2 linked regions of the Diceros bicornis minor genome follow. The protein of the gene in region 2 purifies or fractionates together with the protein of the main gene of each other region. This does not show direct contact. Links are inferred from orthologs where the notes say so. Each region holds a gene or a part of one and is shown on either strand. Other genes may lie near its edges.

What was found.
Region 1: the proteins of IKBKG (region 2) and USP10 purify together in Homo sapiens (affinity purification with western blotting; 3 studies listed by BioGRID and IntAct, with this or other methods). This does not show direct contact. The link is inferred for Diceros bicornis minor from reciprocal best matches to the Homo sapiens genes IKBKG and USP10.

The regions. Positions count from the first base shown.
Region 1 is NC_080771.1:33,698,286-33,705,762, reverse strand, and holds the start of USP10 (ubiquitin carboxyl-terminal hydrolase 10), read right to left. Parts: upstream 3,040-7,477; 5' UTR 3,029-3,039; coding exon 2,984-3,028; intron 2,704-2,983; coding exon 2,635-2,703; intron 1-2,634. UniProt on the Homo sapiens protein: Hydrolase that can remove conjugated ubiquitin from target proteins such as p53/TP53, RPS2/us5, RPS3/us3, RPS10/eS10, BECN1, SNX3 and CFTR.
Region 2 is NC_080781.1:138,464,706-138,472,541, reverse strand, and holds the start of IKBKG (NF-kappa-B essential modulator), read right to left. Parts: upstream 3,012-7,836; 5' UTR 2,460-3,011; coding exon 2,457-2,459; intron 1-2,456. Other genes in the region: G6PD (glucose-6-phosphate 1-dehydrogenase), read left to right, coding at 3,641-3,752, 4,622-4,749. UniProt on the Homo sapiens protein: Regulatory subunit of the IKK core complex which phosphorylates inhibitors of NF-kappa-B thus leading to the dissociation of the inhibitor/NF-kappa-B complex and ultimately the degradation of the inhibitor.

The DNA.
Region 1 (7,477 bases), on a different chromosome or scaffold from region 2:
TTCCTAGCTCATATCCTCAGATTCCTTAAAATCATAACTGTTAACATCAATGAGCACAAGAGATAGAGATGACGCTGAACTGAATTTACCCATTTTCTAAAATGAAATGTAATATAAGCTTTATTTTCTTTGATTTCCTTCTTTTTCCTAAAGTGAAGGAGAAGAAAACAAGTAACAAATCTTTCCTACATCTGTATAGTGTAAATACTGCTTTCAGTATGTTCTCATTTAACCCTACCTCCACAACCCTAAAAAAAAATTTAGAATTGAAGCAGTCAAGGTGAAGAGGGAAGGACTTGCCAAGGTCACATGTAAGTGGCCCACTCAGACCCCAACCCTGGCCTTTGACTCCTATGCTAAGAAGTCAGCTTCTCCTACCCCATTTTATCAAATAACAGAACTCCCTACATAAATATTTAATACATGTGCCAACAGACAACTGTGTATCTCTATCAGGGGTTCTAAAATTAAGGGATCTAGGGCCGGCCCCGTGGCTTAGCGGTTAAGTGCGCGTGCTCCGATGCTGGCGGCCCGGGTTCGGATCCCGGGCGCTCACCGATGCACCGCTTCTCCGGCCATGCTGAGGCCGTGTCCCACATACAGCAACTAGAAGGATGTGCAGCTATGACATACAACTATCTACTGGGGCTTTGGGGGAAAAATAAATAAATAAAATCTTAAAATTAAGGGATCTAAAAGTTAACTAAGATTTAACTTGATGTACTTACTTCTCCCCCCTTTTTTCCTTTTCAAAGCAATTTAAACAGTTTTCATATTTAAAACATAAAGCTGAAAAATGTTCCAAATAAGTTTTTACTAAACTAAAACAGAAACCATTAATCACATAAGGAGTGGACATACAAGAAGACCTCAATGAATGGAGAAATACACCACAATCATGTTTAGAAAACCTATCATAAAGATGTTAATTCTCCTACAAATTATCTATAATTTTAATGCAATTTCAACTGAAATTTCAATAGGATTTTTCATGAAACTTGACATACTGATCATAAATTCCTAAGAAAGAGTTAAGGATGAAGGAGAGCCAAAATACTTGTAAGTATAAGAAGAGGGTGTGTGTCCTACCATCAGACTGATTATAAAGCTGAAGCAATTAAAACATGGGGTATTGATACAGAGATAAAGCAAAAGGCCCACACAACAGGGGACCCACAACCAACTGAGCATATATGGAGATGTGCGACCTGACGCGGGGGCACTACAAATAAGGGCTGAGTTCTCAGTGCCACTCACACTGCCATGGGGGAGAGGAAGTTAGATCCCTACCTGACACACACAAATCAGTACCTCAATTTCAGTTATATTACATACTAAAGTGAAAACAAAAACCTTAAAACTTTTAGAAGAAAACAAATGTCTTTATTACCTCAGGGAAGAGAAGAATTTCTTAAAGATATTTTATTAAAAACCAAAAATCCACAAACCATGAGGAAAAAAAAAATCAATGTATTTGACATTATAAAGATAAAAATGCACTGCCCTTACCCACCAAAAAAAAGAAAAAAAGCATCACATATGAAGTTTAAAAGCCCTCATGCCAGGAAGAGATACCCATAATATGCAAAACCGAAGATTATTACTCCTATAAATCAATAAGAAAAAAGATATGCCATTTGATAAAAAATACGGACAAGGGATACAGACGGGATAATTCATAGAAGCAGAAGTCTATACTGCCAATGGACATATGAAAATAATGAAATAGTGCTCAACTCTTTGTAATCTGGGAATGTAAATTAAAACAATGAGAATCCATTTATTACCCATCAGGTTAACAAAAATTTTATATATGCCTATACTGAGAATTACCAAGAATTAAAAAAAAAAAAATAAGATCAAGAAAACTCTTGTGCACTGTTGATGGGAACGGAGACTGTTAAAACCACTTAAAAAGAACATCAGCTGTCTCTAGTAAAACTAGAGACAGAAATTGCAGAACCCAGCAATTCCATCCCTAGGAATATATTCTGGAGAAACACAGAGGAGCATGAGGAGACATGACAAAATATGTTTATCGCAACATTTTTGTAATAGTGGAAGAACTAAAGACCTAAATGGTCTTCAACAGAAAAAAAGGTAAATAAATCATGGTATGTTCCACCAATGGTATTTAGCAATTAAAATCAAAGAACAAGAACAAAATGTATCTGCATAAATAAATCTAAAGAATACGTTAGCTTAAAATAAAAAACTACAAAATGATGAATATAATATGAAACCATTTATGTGACATTTTAAACCACATAAAACAATACAACGTACTATCTGTTGCTACACAACACAGGTATATGTAATAAAAGGCAAAAACCATAGCCAGGAAAAAAAACTTACCAATTTTAGCCGAGTTGTTATTTCTGGGGAAGAAGGGAATGAGACAGGAGAGGGGTACAATGGAGGCTTCAACTGTATCTGTAATGTTTTGCCATTTATAAATATAGCAAAATGTTAATATTAGTCAAATCTGGTTGGTGGGTTCAGGCATTTCTCATATTAGTCTCTGCACTTTTCTGTACACTTGAATTCTTTATCAAAAAGCATAAATTAATAAAAAGTAAAACAACCATTAATTTTATCTACACATATACTCAACAAAACAAAGTTTTGTCTTACCTCAACTGAACAGCGAGGAGTCACAAAGAACTGATTGAATTCATCAGGGCTAAAATCTCCAAAAATATACTGAAAAAAAGAGAATCACTGATCACATAAAATGCACAAATTATATACTTTTGGAAAAAATGCTATATATTATAATAATCCTATGAAATATTTGGGCCAGAATCCCCAAGACCCTTTCTCGGTTAAACAAAACAAGGGTCTGCAAACTGAGATTTCTAGGTGTAGTATTTTCCAATTACAAACATGAAAATACTACTTAGCCTTCTCCATAAATTGTCAAAGAAAACTCAAGTTGATAAAGCTTATTTTGAAATAGGTCGATTTTGTACACCAAACTTACAAGCAGAGTCCTGCTTGCAGGAGAATTTTTTTGGTTCACAAACATTTCCAGTTGTTCCATTTACCTTTCTGCTGACTCATGTCATTACCTCCTTTTCAGTTTTCTCTGCCATACATACTAAAGAAAAGCAGAAAATGTGGTTCAAATGGGGAGATAGGGAAATCCAAAAGAGCAAAATGTTAATGATCCTGATGAATGATCTTTAAAAATATATGTGATTTTTATCTTAAAAGTGTACTGGAACATGACGCACAGATAAACATTATTCAATAGACACAAGCACAGTTGTGAATCCTCATTTCAGAGAATTCTAAATGTGACTTGATGGAAAAACAACTGGCTAAACTACATGGAAGCAAGTTTGGCAACTGCCTAACAGTTCTTCAAGAAATAAGTCCTAGACAAGGAATCAGTATGCCTAGATTTCTACAACAGAAAATCACTCGCTAGTTACTCATTCACTTACTCCATAACATTTAGAGCCTACTAAGTGCCACGCACGATCATTGGCACCGGGGATAAAAATGGTACAGCAGAGTTGTGATTCCTCCACTCTAATGGAGCCGATAGTCCAGTAACTTGGAGGGAAATCTACAAGCATGTGATTCACATATAACCAATAGCTTATTATTATACAAATGGATAATACCCACTATTACCATAAATGTGAATAAATGGCAACTAACTCTCGTACCCTATCGGTAAGAAGGCACTGATATTTCTGGGGAAAATATTTCTGGAAGGCTCTTTGGCAATAGCTACCAAGACTGTAAATACAGATTTAAAACCAAAATATCTTCATAAAATATTTACATATACTTCCAAAAGTCCACAAAGAAACTGTGCACTGATAGTAATGGTGAAAATAAGGAGAGTCCCAAAACAATCTAGAAATGGTCTTCTGAAACACTTTCACTGTGAGCTCAGTGAGCTTAAACTGTCTTATCATCTCCAACCTGGGGGTAAAGCTTATATTAAAGTCACTTAGGCACAACACCAAGCACTGGAAGGGAAAGGTATCTTTTAAGTGAAAAGGAAGCAGAAGAGAGGTCAGGGTGAGGTGTGTGTGAAGAAATGACACTGCTGACTAGTATTCTTTACAGTTCCACGGCAGATAAAGATCTTTAAGTCTAGATGTAAACCTTAAAACTTAGGAGAAAATTAAAAAGACAAGCCACAGACTAGGAGAATATATGTCTGACAACACAAGTGCCAGCAAGGACGTGAAGCAACTGGAACTCCCTACGTGGCTGATACAGATGCAGAATGCTACAGGCACTCTGGAAAAGAGTCTGGCAGGTTCTTATAAAGTTACTTACCATACAACCCAGCAATGCCACTCCTAGGTACTTATCCAAGAGAACTGAAGACCTATGTCCACAAAAAAACCCCGTATGCTGATGTTTACAGCAGCTCTATTCATAACCGCCAAAAGCTGGAAACAACCCAAATGTCCATCAAGTGGTGGATGTGGTAGTCTACACAACGAAATACTACTCAATGACTCTAAAAGAGCATCATGCTAAGTGAAAGAAGTCAGACTCAAAAGGCTACAAATGTTGTTTAATTGCATTTATATAACATTCAAGGACAAAATTATAGGCACAGAAAACAGATCAGTGGTTGTCAAGGTCTGGAGAAGGTCTGATTAAAGAGGCACAAAAGAACTTTTGCGGGTGATGAAAATTTTCACAAGAGAATCCTGCTGGAGAAACAGCAACCACCTTAACTGCCGAGGAAACACACCCACTAAAATATGATTTCAGCCCTCATATATGAATGGACAACAAACAATCACAAGACATGTGAGGGGTAAATTAGGGGGAATTAAAATTACGGGAAAATGATTGAGTAAACAGAACACAGAAACAGAAAAGAACTTAAAAAAAATTCTGATTTGTATCCTTAAAGCAATTCTAGCAGGTAAAATAAACAGAATGCCAAGAAAAAGGACCTACTAGAGAACAAGGAAGTGTCCACAGAAATCAGAAGATTATTAAATTTAAATTACTAAATTTACAAACTCAACAGAAGGTCTTAACAGCAGAATCAACAAGACTAGAAAACAATGGAGCAGTATTTTGAAAGTTCCAAGAAAAAAGTATTTTGTTCCTAGAATTCTAAAGTATTTTGTTTTCATAGAATTCTATTCTATTGTGAAGATTATTACTCAAGTGCAAAAGAAAAACAACATTCTGACACCCCTACACTCTTTTGTTGGAGTGGGGTGGGGAGGTGCCTGCTTAAGAATTCCAGAAAAGGAACTCAAGAGACACAAGAGTGGTAAACAGAGAAGGAGACCCAGGACACTGCTGACACTGTAGCTGTGAGGTCTAAAGAAAACATGAAGAGTCACTACACTGGAATCACGCTGTTTTATTTAATACCAACAGCAGAAACGTTGCAGTAAAAGATCCATTTTATCTTCTCTTACGAATGGTAAGGAAGGACTCTACTTTAATTCAGAACGTGGGGAAGACATAAGGATGAAAACTGGAATGTTCTACAGGATTGTTAAGCTATTTTCTTTAGGTAGCTTTTCTTCTTGGAAAAATAAAAATGAAATGCTCATTTAACACACACTTCTAAGCACATTCTCTTACTTGAGTACACATACAGTCTAAACTCTTTTAAAGAGAGAGATCTGGTTAACCCAGTAAGAGAACTAAAATTCCAAATGATTTAATAAAATCTGGTCAATAAGAGGGAGAGGGAGGAGGAAACGTGACTCCAAGCTACTCGCACACAAGCCTTCCCGCCTGCATGCAGGCCCCGGGGCCCAGCGCTAGTCCAGTCCCTGCGCTAGTCGGCTGGGCTGGGAGCCAACCCACAGCCAACCACTGGAATGCTTAGAAAGGTTCCAGAAAAGACTTCTTCTATTATTTTCAATTTTACTATTTTTATTTATTTCCAAAGTATTATTTAAAAACGTTGCTATAGATTGTAAATGTGCTTTTCTTACAACTTCATGTCAATAATTTCTCCACAGATATGCACCTTCAATCTGCTTACAAGAGTCACTCACTGGGGGAAAATGAGGAAGAGCTTGACGTACAGATCCGGAGAAACGTCCAAGGTACTGTTAAATGAAGAAAACATTCTTGCTGTAAAAAAGGGAGGAAAATAGAAATATCTACTTGTGTTTGCATAAAGAGATATTGGAAAAGGAACCCAGGAGAGGATGCAGCCGTCTACCTACTCAGAGCCATGGGGACCCCAAGTGGGGGGAGTGGAGCGGGAGGGAGATTTGTTAGTTTGTATCTTCTCAGAGTTTTTAGTTCTGAACCATATTAATACCTTATCTATTCCAAAAATTAACTGTAAAAAGTCAATGTAAACAACAGAAATCATTGTACAACTATTCAAATATACCCATTTTGCAGAGATGTTATAAGTTTGCACCTGTGTTAGTTTCAAGATCTCACTGACAACAGATTAGATCTTGATGAAAACATTTAATCCAAGAAAGACACCATAAGCAACTGCTATCAACTATGCAATGCCAAAATATCATTTAACACTTGACAGTGGCTAGCCAGAGCTGTTTTGAACTCCAAGTAATTTCCTTAACACTGGCTCACATATATTAATAGACAACCCTGACAAAATACACGAGTCACATCCTCTTGCCATAATCAGATCTATTTTCAATCCTCAAATGCATAAATTTTTGAAAGTGAGCAGTTACACTTCACCCAATATAAAAAACAGCTATTTCAACTTTGTCACAGAGTTAAAAGAGGGGATCGCTAAGAAGCTGGTACCAAGGATTACGAGCGTCTCTGCAAGGGGTTCACCACCAGGAGGTCTGGTTAGGATTTCCATTTCCTGTAGAATGAGTATTCCCCATACACTCACGGCAGATAAGCTACATGTAGCTTCTTCCTATGTGTCCGCACACATATTACTTATTCTCAAACAGGAATCAAATGTAATGCAGTAACTGCAGACAAAGGGAGGCTTGATATCCGGGGAGCTCATTCTCAAAGGTCAGAAAAGGCCAAGTCCCTGAGGTCTCAGGCTAGGGGAGGCTCATGAATAAAAGGGAATTTCCTACCACCAGAGTGCGTGTAAAAAAAGGAAAAACATTTCTTTCTAGGCCTCTTTGGTAACCGTCCAAACATTCATTCAGAATGATTTCATAAAATGTCCCATATAAACTTGAGGCAATGACATCATTCAGTGCTTAACAAAACCATGTGCCTCATTCAAAATGATTACAGGAAGTATACTATGAAGAAGCATTTATTATCCACACTGTTTCATAAAGGCAAATACAAGGATGGCTTATAAAATAAAATTTAGCTTAAATAAATTTATTGGGAGAAAACAGGTAATTTTTTGATATCCTGATAAAACTACAAAAGCAAAGAAAAGGCCAAATATTTACTCAGTAGTAAATCCCAGTGAGTGGACATAAATTACATTGCCCTGCATTTTAGTGACAATTATTTAACTAAAATTACATCTGACTAAAGGCTGAATCAACACAAG
Region 2 (7,836 bases):
TTTGGATAAACGGTCTTTGGAGATGTAATTAAATGAGGATCTTGAGATGAGATCATCCTGGAGTAGGGTGGGCCCTAAATGCAATGACAAGTGTCCTCATAAGAGATGGAAGAGGAGATCCAGACACAGAGGAGAAGGCCACGTGAAAACAGAGGCAGATACTGGAGGGATGTGGCCACAAGCCGAGGAACACCTGGGGCCCCCAGAAGCTGGAAGAGGCAGGAAGGGTCCTCCCTTAGAGCCTCCAGAGGGAGCACAGCTCTGCCAACACCTTGATTTCAAACTTCTGGCCTCAAGCACTGGGAAAGGAGAAATTTCTATTGTTTTAAGCCCCCAGCTTGTGGTCATCTCTTACAGCAGCCCTAAGAAATTAATAGATCTAGTCAGAGGGGCTTTGAAGAGACCACGCAGAATCTGATCAGTGTTCCCTGGAACTGGGGGGCCGAAGGGGACATCTAGTATCTGACATGTGCTAAGTAATCTGAAAGTGAGAGCTGGCCTCGCAGACTAAGACAGCAGAGCAGAGAGACAGGCTGTTTGCGTTCTCTTCTGAACTAGAATAGAGGCAGCCCACGTGGGACAGCACCAGCCTAGAGCCCTTTTAAATCCTGCCCAAGAAGACTGACTACCTGGAGGAGGTGGACAATCCAAATACAAGTTTCCAGGAGCAGGCCTGAGCTGAGGAAGGAGACTTTGAACACTGAATAAACTTGGACGTTTGACTATGACACTGATCCTCAACACCCCACTAACCCATCAGCAGTATTTAACCAACCACTGACCCCTCCCTCAGCTTACAGAACAGCCCACTCTCCTGGTTTTCCTCCTACTTCACTGGCTGCTCCTGCAGTGGATCCTCCTCATCAACACATCCCTTCACGTTGTGGTGCTCCAGGGCTCTGTTCTGGGATCTCTTCTCTAACTACAGTCACTCCAGGACTAATTCCATCCAGCCTCACAGCTTTAACCCCCATTCTAATGCTCTTGATGCCCTAAAATTAGACCTGTTTCCTGGACTCCAGACTCACGTATCAGACTCAACATCTCCACCTGGGCATCTAGTAGTCCTCTTAAAACTAACCTTTTCAACACTGCACTCCTGCGAGTCCCCCAAAGCCAGGACCACCCACAGCCTACCTTACTGTCAGCTGGTGGCCAATCCATCCTCCAGTTATCAGGACAAAAACCTCGGAGTCCTTCTTGACTCCTCCCTCCCTCCCTCCGTCCATCCCCCTCTCCCTCTCTCCCTCTCTCCCTCTCTCCCTCTCTCTCTCAGCTCACATCTAATCCATCAGGAAATCCTGTCAAAATGTATCCCAGGGGCCAGCCCCATGGCTTAGCGGTTAAGTGCGTGCACTCCGCTGCTGGGCTGCTGGCAGCCCAGGTTCAGATCCCGGCGGCGCACCAACGCACCGCTTCTCCGGCCATGCTGAGGCCGAGTCCCACATGCAGCAACTAGAAGGATATGCAGCTATGACATGCAACTATCTACTGGGGATTTGGGGGGAAAAATAAAGTTTAAAAAAAATGTTAAAATGTATCCCAGAATCTATTTGATGACACTAAACAATTAATGTTAACTATTTCAGGTGTGAGAGTGGTATTTTAGCTATGATTTTTTAAATATTTTCTTAGAGATGCATACTGAAACACTGTCAGGTGGTGTCTGAAATTCACTTCAAAATAATGGGGGAACTCCTAGGTATCTATGCAAAAGAAATGAAAACACATGTCTACACATGAATGCTCACAGCAGCGTTACTCATAACAGCCAAAGAGTGGAAACAACCCAAATGTCCATCAACTGAGGAATAAACAAAATCTACTACATTCACATGGACAAACATTGCAGAGAGAAACAATTCACAAAAGACCACACAGTGTGTAATTCCATTTATATGAAATGTCCAGAATAGGAAAATTATCTATAGAGACAGAAAGATTAGTGGATGCTTAGAGCTGGGGGAGACAGGGTGATGTGGGTGATAGCCACAGGGTACGGAGTTTCTTTTTAGAGTGATGAAAATGTTCTGGAATTAGTAGTGATGGTTGCACAACTCCGTGAATACACTAAAAACCAGTGAATTGTACACTTTAAATGGGTGAATTGTGTGGTATGTGAATTATATCTCAATAAAATTGTTATTGAAAAGAATAATGGGAGACAATTGTGAGGGATATAAATTAAAATTAGCCATGAGTTGGTAACTGTTGAAGCCCGGAGGTGGTTCCACGGGATTTACCATACTAGTCTTTCTACTTTTGTGCATCTTTGTAAATTTTCATAATAAAATGCTCAAAGCACCATCAACTCTCACCTGGATTACTGCAATAACCTCTTAACAGATCACCCTGCTCCTATCCTTGCCTACTACAGTCTGTTCTCCCCACCGAGGCCAGAACAATAAGCCTAAAAAGTAATTACGATCACGTCCCTCCTCTACTCAGATCCATACCATGGTTCCTCATTGTCCTCCATGTAAAAGCCAGTCTCTTTGACGGCCTACAAGGCCCTGCACCATCTGGTCCCCCACTGCTTCCTCTCCAAGTATTCTCCCCTTGCTCACTCTGCTCCAGCTTTTCCTCCAATGTGCCACGACGGCCCATTCATCCTCAAATCACAGAAATGGTATGAGATTCGGTAGACATTAATCGTTTTGCAAAGTGAGCAAACTGAGGCACATGAGGTAAGATACTTAGCTGCCAAACTATATTTGAGGTCTTTCTAAAGAACTTAACAACCTCAAATACAGTCAAGTTTGATGAACAGAAAATATCTTCGAACTAGAAGAGTCACCCACGAAATAGGGGTGTGATCAGACTCCACAGCGGCGGTGGAGGGAGAGGCAGGAACAGTCCTGCTCACCGCCAAAGAAACCTGATCCTGCATCGCCCCGCCTTGGCCGGTGCTCTAGATGCGGGTGGCAGAAATGGGCGGGGGCCCAAAAGGAGAGAAAAGCCTGGACGTCCGGGAGAGTCTCAGAGGCGGTGGAACGCCCAGTGATGGTACCCTGCCTTCGGGGAAGAGGACCACACCTGTCAGCAGAATCGGTCCGACGTGAGATGGACAGAAGCGACAGGCCACGAGCGCTCCTCGGGCCCCGTCCCTCCGAGAAAGTCCCAGTTCCGCGGTCGCCTTTCCCTCCTCCCGCTGCCGAAATCCCCACTTCCTGCTTCCGGTGTCGTACTGTGGGATCCGGAAGTAAAACAGGGAAGCCCCGCCCCCGCCCAGGAGGCCCGCGAGAAGTACTAGGGAGGCTGCTCCAGAGGGAAGCCCGAGCCCACCAGTCTCGGTCGGCCTGCAGGAGGCTCCCCAGTGATATCCACCACCTGCTACTTTTCGGGGCGTCACGACCCACACTGCCCCTTGTCCCTCGGTCTACAGCATCCAGCCTCCGCGTGCTCGGCTGCCTCGGCCCCGCAAGGGGAGGAGCCACGACGAGGCTGCCCAACAGGGCCGGTCTGACCGAGCGGGCGACCGTCCGGTGAGAGGGCGGGGCTCAGATGGCCCCGCCTATAGCCTGGGTCAAGGAGGCGTGGCCACGCTGCCAGCGGAAGTGGAGCCTTCCGCGAGGGTGTAGGGCCGCCTGGGGCCTGCGAGAAAGCCGGCCTGTAGGGGCGGGGCTGAGCCGAGCCGGTGATGGGGACTCGGGCGAACGGCGCGGAGCTGCACGCGGAACCGCGACGCATCCGGGACGCGGCTCAGCGGCGGCGGGTACAGCAGGCGGCCCGCGGCCGGGCGGCCGGTGCAGGTGCCCAAGAGGCGGGGCGAGCCAAGGGCGGGGGGGCCTCGCGCGGGGGCCAGCCTGGGATGCGCGCGCACTTGCCTGCTCCCTCACCGGGCCCCGCCCCTGGAGGGAGGGGCCTGTGGGGGCACCGCCCGCGCGCCTCGCCTGAGGCGGGTCGGCTGAGACCAGGCGCCCGCCCCCGCTGATTAAGTGGGCCGGCGGGGCACAGCCCCCGGAAACGGCTGAAACTCCGGGGCTGCGAGTGCGACGGGCGGCGGCGGTAAGGTGCAGGTAAGGGAGTGGGCGGGCGCCGCGCCGGCGGAGGGAGGGATGTGCGGCACCTTAGGCCCTTTGATTTGCCATGCTTGGGAGCGGGGGCAAAACCGAGACGGCCTTAACCGATCCCACTGCCCCCCCTGCATCCCTGCCGTTGGAACCCTGAGGAGACTGAGATCTCGAGAGGACTTGCCAGGGTCTCAGCCTGGCAGAAAGAGAGCTGGAGCTGCACTCCATCATCTGCACGGTCTAACATGCTCCAGCTCATTGTGGAGTTTCTGCCTGAGTCCGGGGTGCGATGGACCTAGGCAGGTCATGCGATGTCCAGCAGGGTTTTGCTTGGTCCCTCAGAATTGAGGCTCTAGCTGGAATCCACTAGGGCTTTGGGCAATTTTGTATTGTACACCGTGAAAGAAGGCTGCTTGGGGAGTATGGCTGAAGCCCAGAGCCAGCAGTTTCTTACTTCCCAACCATCCTGCTCCCTGGCCATTCACAGCGAGTGGTTTCAATAATCAGGCGTCAGCTGGGTGAGAGCCCAAACGACTCCTCGAGAAAGGGGCTATCTTCTCAATGCTCTGATGTTCTTGTGCCTTGTCAATGAGCCTTTCTTCCACCAGAGAGCATCATGGCAGAACAGGTGGCCCTGAGCCGGACCCAGGTGTGCGGGATCCTGCGGGAAGAGCTGTACCAAGGTGATGCCTTCCATCAGTCCGATACACATATCTTCATCATCATGGGTGCATCGGTGAGTCTCCCCGAGGACCATCATCTTAAAACCCACACTTAGAGCATGACATTGCTTAAGGTCCCTTCCTGCTCAATGCCTGGGCTTTCCCAACTGACTGTTGTTGGGCCACGTGGGCTCTGCTTGGTTGGGCTCTCCGTCTTGCTCCTGCCTGTGTGCCACTATCATCCCAGCACCATACGGTATATACACGTTAGGAGGCATTTCCGAAGTCCACGCACAGCCATTGACTATATACATTAATAGGACAGCCATTGACTGTCCTGGAGCCCGGAAGTCCTTCTCCACGGAGAACACTGAAATGCAAACAGGGAGCCTAGTCATTCTGTGAGTGTTTTTCTCAAACCTGTTTGTGACTTGACAGATGTCACACAGTGAGTTAGTTCCAGAGGCAGGTTCTGAGGCCCGATCTCCACCTTGTCTTTCTCTACCACATCAAGTTCCCTGGGGACAAACACTCGACCTTTCTTTGAGCATTGTCTCTTTGCCCCATTTTGCTCTGATAGAGTAGAAGCACAGTGACGGTTTGTGATGGCAAGTGGGCACAGGAGAGGGAGAGTGGGTCCTAGTCAAGCCATGACCCTCAGACTAAAGCACTTCCCGGCGTACCGTGTGGAAACGAGATTTGCCAGGTGGCCAGACATGTGCAGGGGCTGCTGAGATGAGCTGCCAGGGTTTCATCTTGAAGAAAAGTGGTTTCTTCTCACTTTTAACCCTGGACATGACCAAGAACCTGCTAACCATTGTATAATCACCTCTGCCAGTAACTTACTGTGTAATCTTGAGCAAGAGTTCCACCAAAGTTAGAGAGTTCTTGACAGGGCAGGTCTTATCTCTCTGTGCCTACCACAGCACAGTCCCTTCAGCTCTGGAGGAACTTGGTTCTTTGTTCATATATCATAACCTGCCACCACCCTTTGCAGAGTCTACTCCCTGGAAACTTTGGGATTCTGATCCAGACTTGGAAAAGGAGAGCCAGAATGCAGAGCAGGAGGCAGTACAGGGTAGAAGGACTCTGCCAGTAGGAGGGAAGGGAGGGCTGCCCCAAGCAGTGTCTTCTGATGCCCTGTACCCAGGAGGAGCAGACAGGGGACACGCTTGGCCTCTACCCTGGCCTCAGCCGCATCCCCTTGGAGGAGCCATACCTCTGTTGGCCACAGACCTTAACACCTAGGACTCTGACCATTAGGTCCTTTGTCCAAGAAATAGGTTGGTAGAGAAAGTAACTCAGGATTATTTTTCCTCCTTCCCTCGTCTCCATGCCAGCCTATCACAGGATGCTCCTACAGAGCATGCCAGGCCGCAAGAAATGGCGTGTGACTCCAGGCCCTCAACTCTTAAGTGCCCCATTGAGAGCATCCAAGCTTGCTGTGTGACCTAGGGCAAGTGTCTTCCCTTCTCTGAACCTCAGTGTTTCCATAGCAAACCAGGGCTTTTGAAACAAGTGCCGAAGGTCCTCGGGCTCTACCAAGCTGATTCTGTGAGTCCTCACTGCCTTTGCCTGTGGCCAGCTTGGGGTTGGGCAACTTTGTTTCTTTGCAATGAGTAGGGTTTCCCTTTGCTCTCCTTTGCTCTGGAGTGACAACCGGAGGCTTCCAGAGCAGAAATGGGAAGTGCTGCTCCAGCAGGGTCGAGTGGGGGAGAGCAAGGGTTCTCTGAAGAAGAGCCTCCTTGTTTGTTTTTCCCTTCTACTCCAGGGGGCTGGAGAGGGTGGGCCGCCCACGCTCAGGCAGCACCTAGAACAGCTCCCACAGTCTGGCCTCCACTGCCTCACTGTCTCCTTCGTCTGGGTAGGAGGTGGGCAGAGTAGTGCTGGGGGCGCACTCTACCAGAACCTGCTGCTATGGGAGACCAGTGAGGTCTCTCTTCCTCCATCCAACAAATGCTGACCAAGTGCCTCCCCTGCAGCACAGCGAGCATGGGCCCTGCCCTCTTCTTGGGGCCTCTGTGGTGGGGGCCAGGACCTAAGGTGAGTTAGCCTAAGAAGAGTTCAGAGTGGAGCATGTGACAGAAGACGCAGACAGGATCCTGTGTCCCCAGCCCCCCAGCACACAGGTCTCATGAAGAGGGCCTGCAGAGAGGCCTGCAGAGCCAAGGCCGGCGGGGAGCACACCACACAAAGGGAAGAGCAGACACAGAGCCCCAAGTGGGGCAGGCTGGGCCCACGTGGCCATTCTCTGCCCCTTCCTCCTCCTCTTCCACTTACCCAACCCTCAGCGGCACGCCCAGCTTCCTTCCTCAGGGCCTCCTGATGCTGGCTCACAGAGTTACCCAATGGGCTTTGAGCTGCTCTCTGTTCCCCCTGCTATGTGGCCACTTCCGCCCTCCTTAGGACTCCCACCCCCAGCCAGGAAGGGAGTGGAGGTACTTACTATCCTAGTCCAGAAAGCCTTGGAATGAAGGAAACCGGTTTCTCCTTACAGACCAGCATGGGGGGAGGAACCTTGGGCCTGGCAGATCATGTCCTCCCCCATCTGATAGGACTCGACCAGCGGGCTCAGCGATTCTCCCCACCTCAGGGAGTGGAGAGAGGAATAGGAGTGAGAGAAAGAGAGACCAGGACTGGGAGTCCACTGGGCAGGATTGACTCCCTGCAGGGTCCGCAGTGAGCCCCTCGCCTCTCTGGGCTTCAGTCTCCCCACTTGGGCCACAAGGGCTATGGGCTCGATGGGTGCTCAGGCCCTCCCTCTCCTCCGGACGTTTCTGGGCTGCCTTCCCCCTTGGGCTGATAAGATTCTTGCTGTGTCATGATGACATTGGCACTCCCCCAAAGGCCTGGTGATTCGTAAGCCCCAGGGTGTAGGAGGGAGGCCCTTTTCTTGGTTTTACACCCGAGCCTACCTCAGCAGACCCTAGGTTCTCTCGGTCCAGTGGCCGGGAGCCAGCTGGGTCCCAGCCAGGGCCTAAACTCCATCCTGGGAGGCTGGGCGGATCCTTGACACGAGTGACCCTAGGGGGACTAGGGTGGCCCACCCCTGCTGGGCAGCCAGCAGTTGGCAGCCAGCAGTTGGCAGCCAGCTTCTTGAGCTCTTAGCCACATTCTCCGCCTTAAAACCCTCATAGATGTCGGCAGTGGTTTGGGCTTAT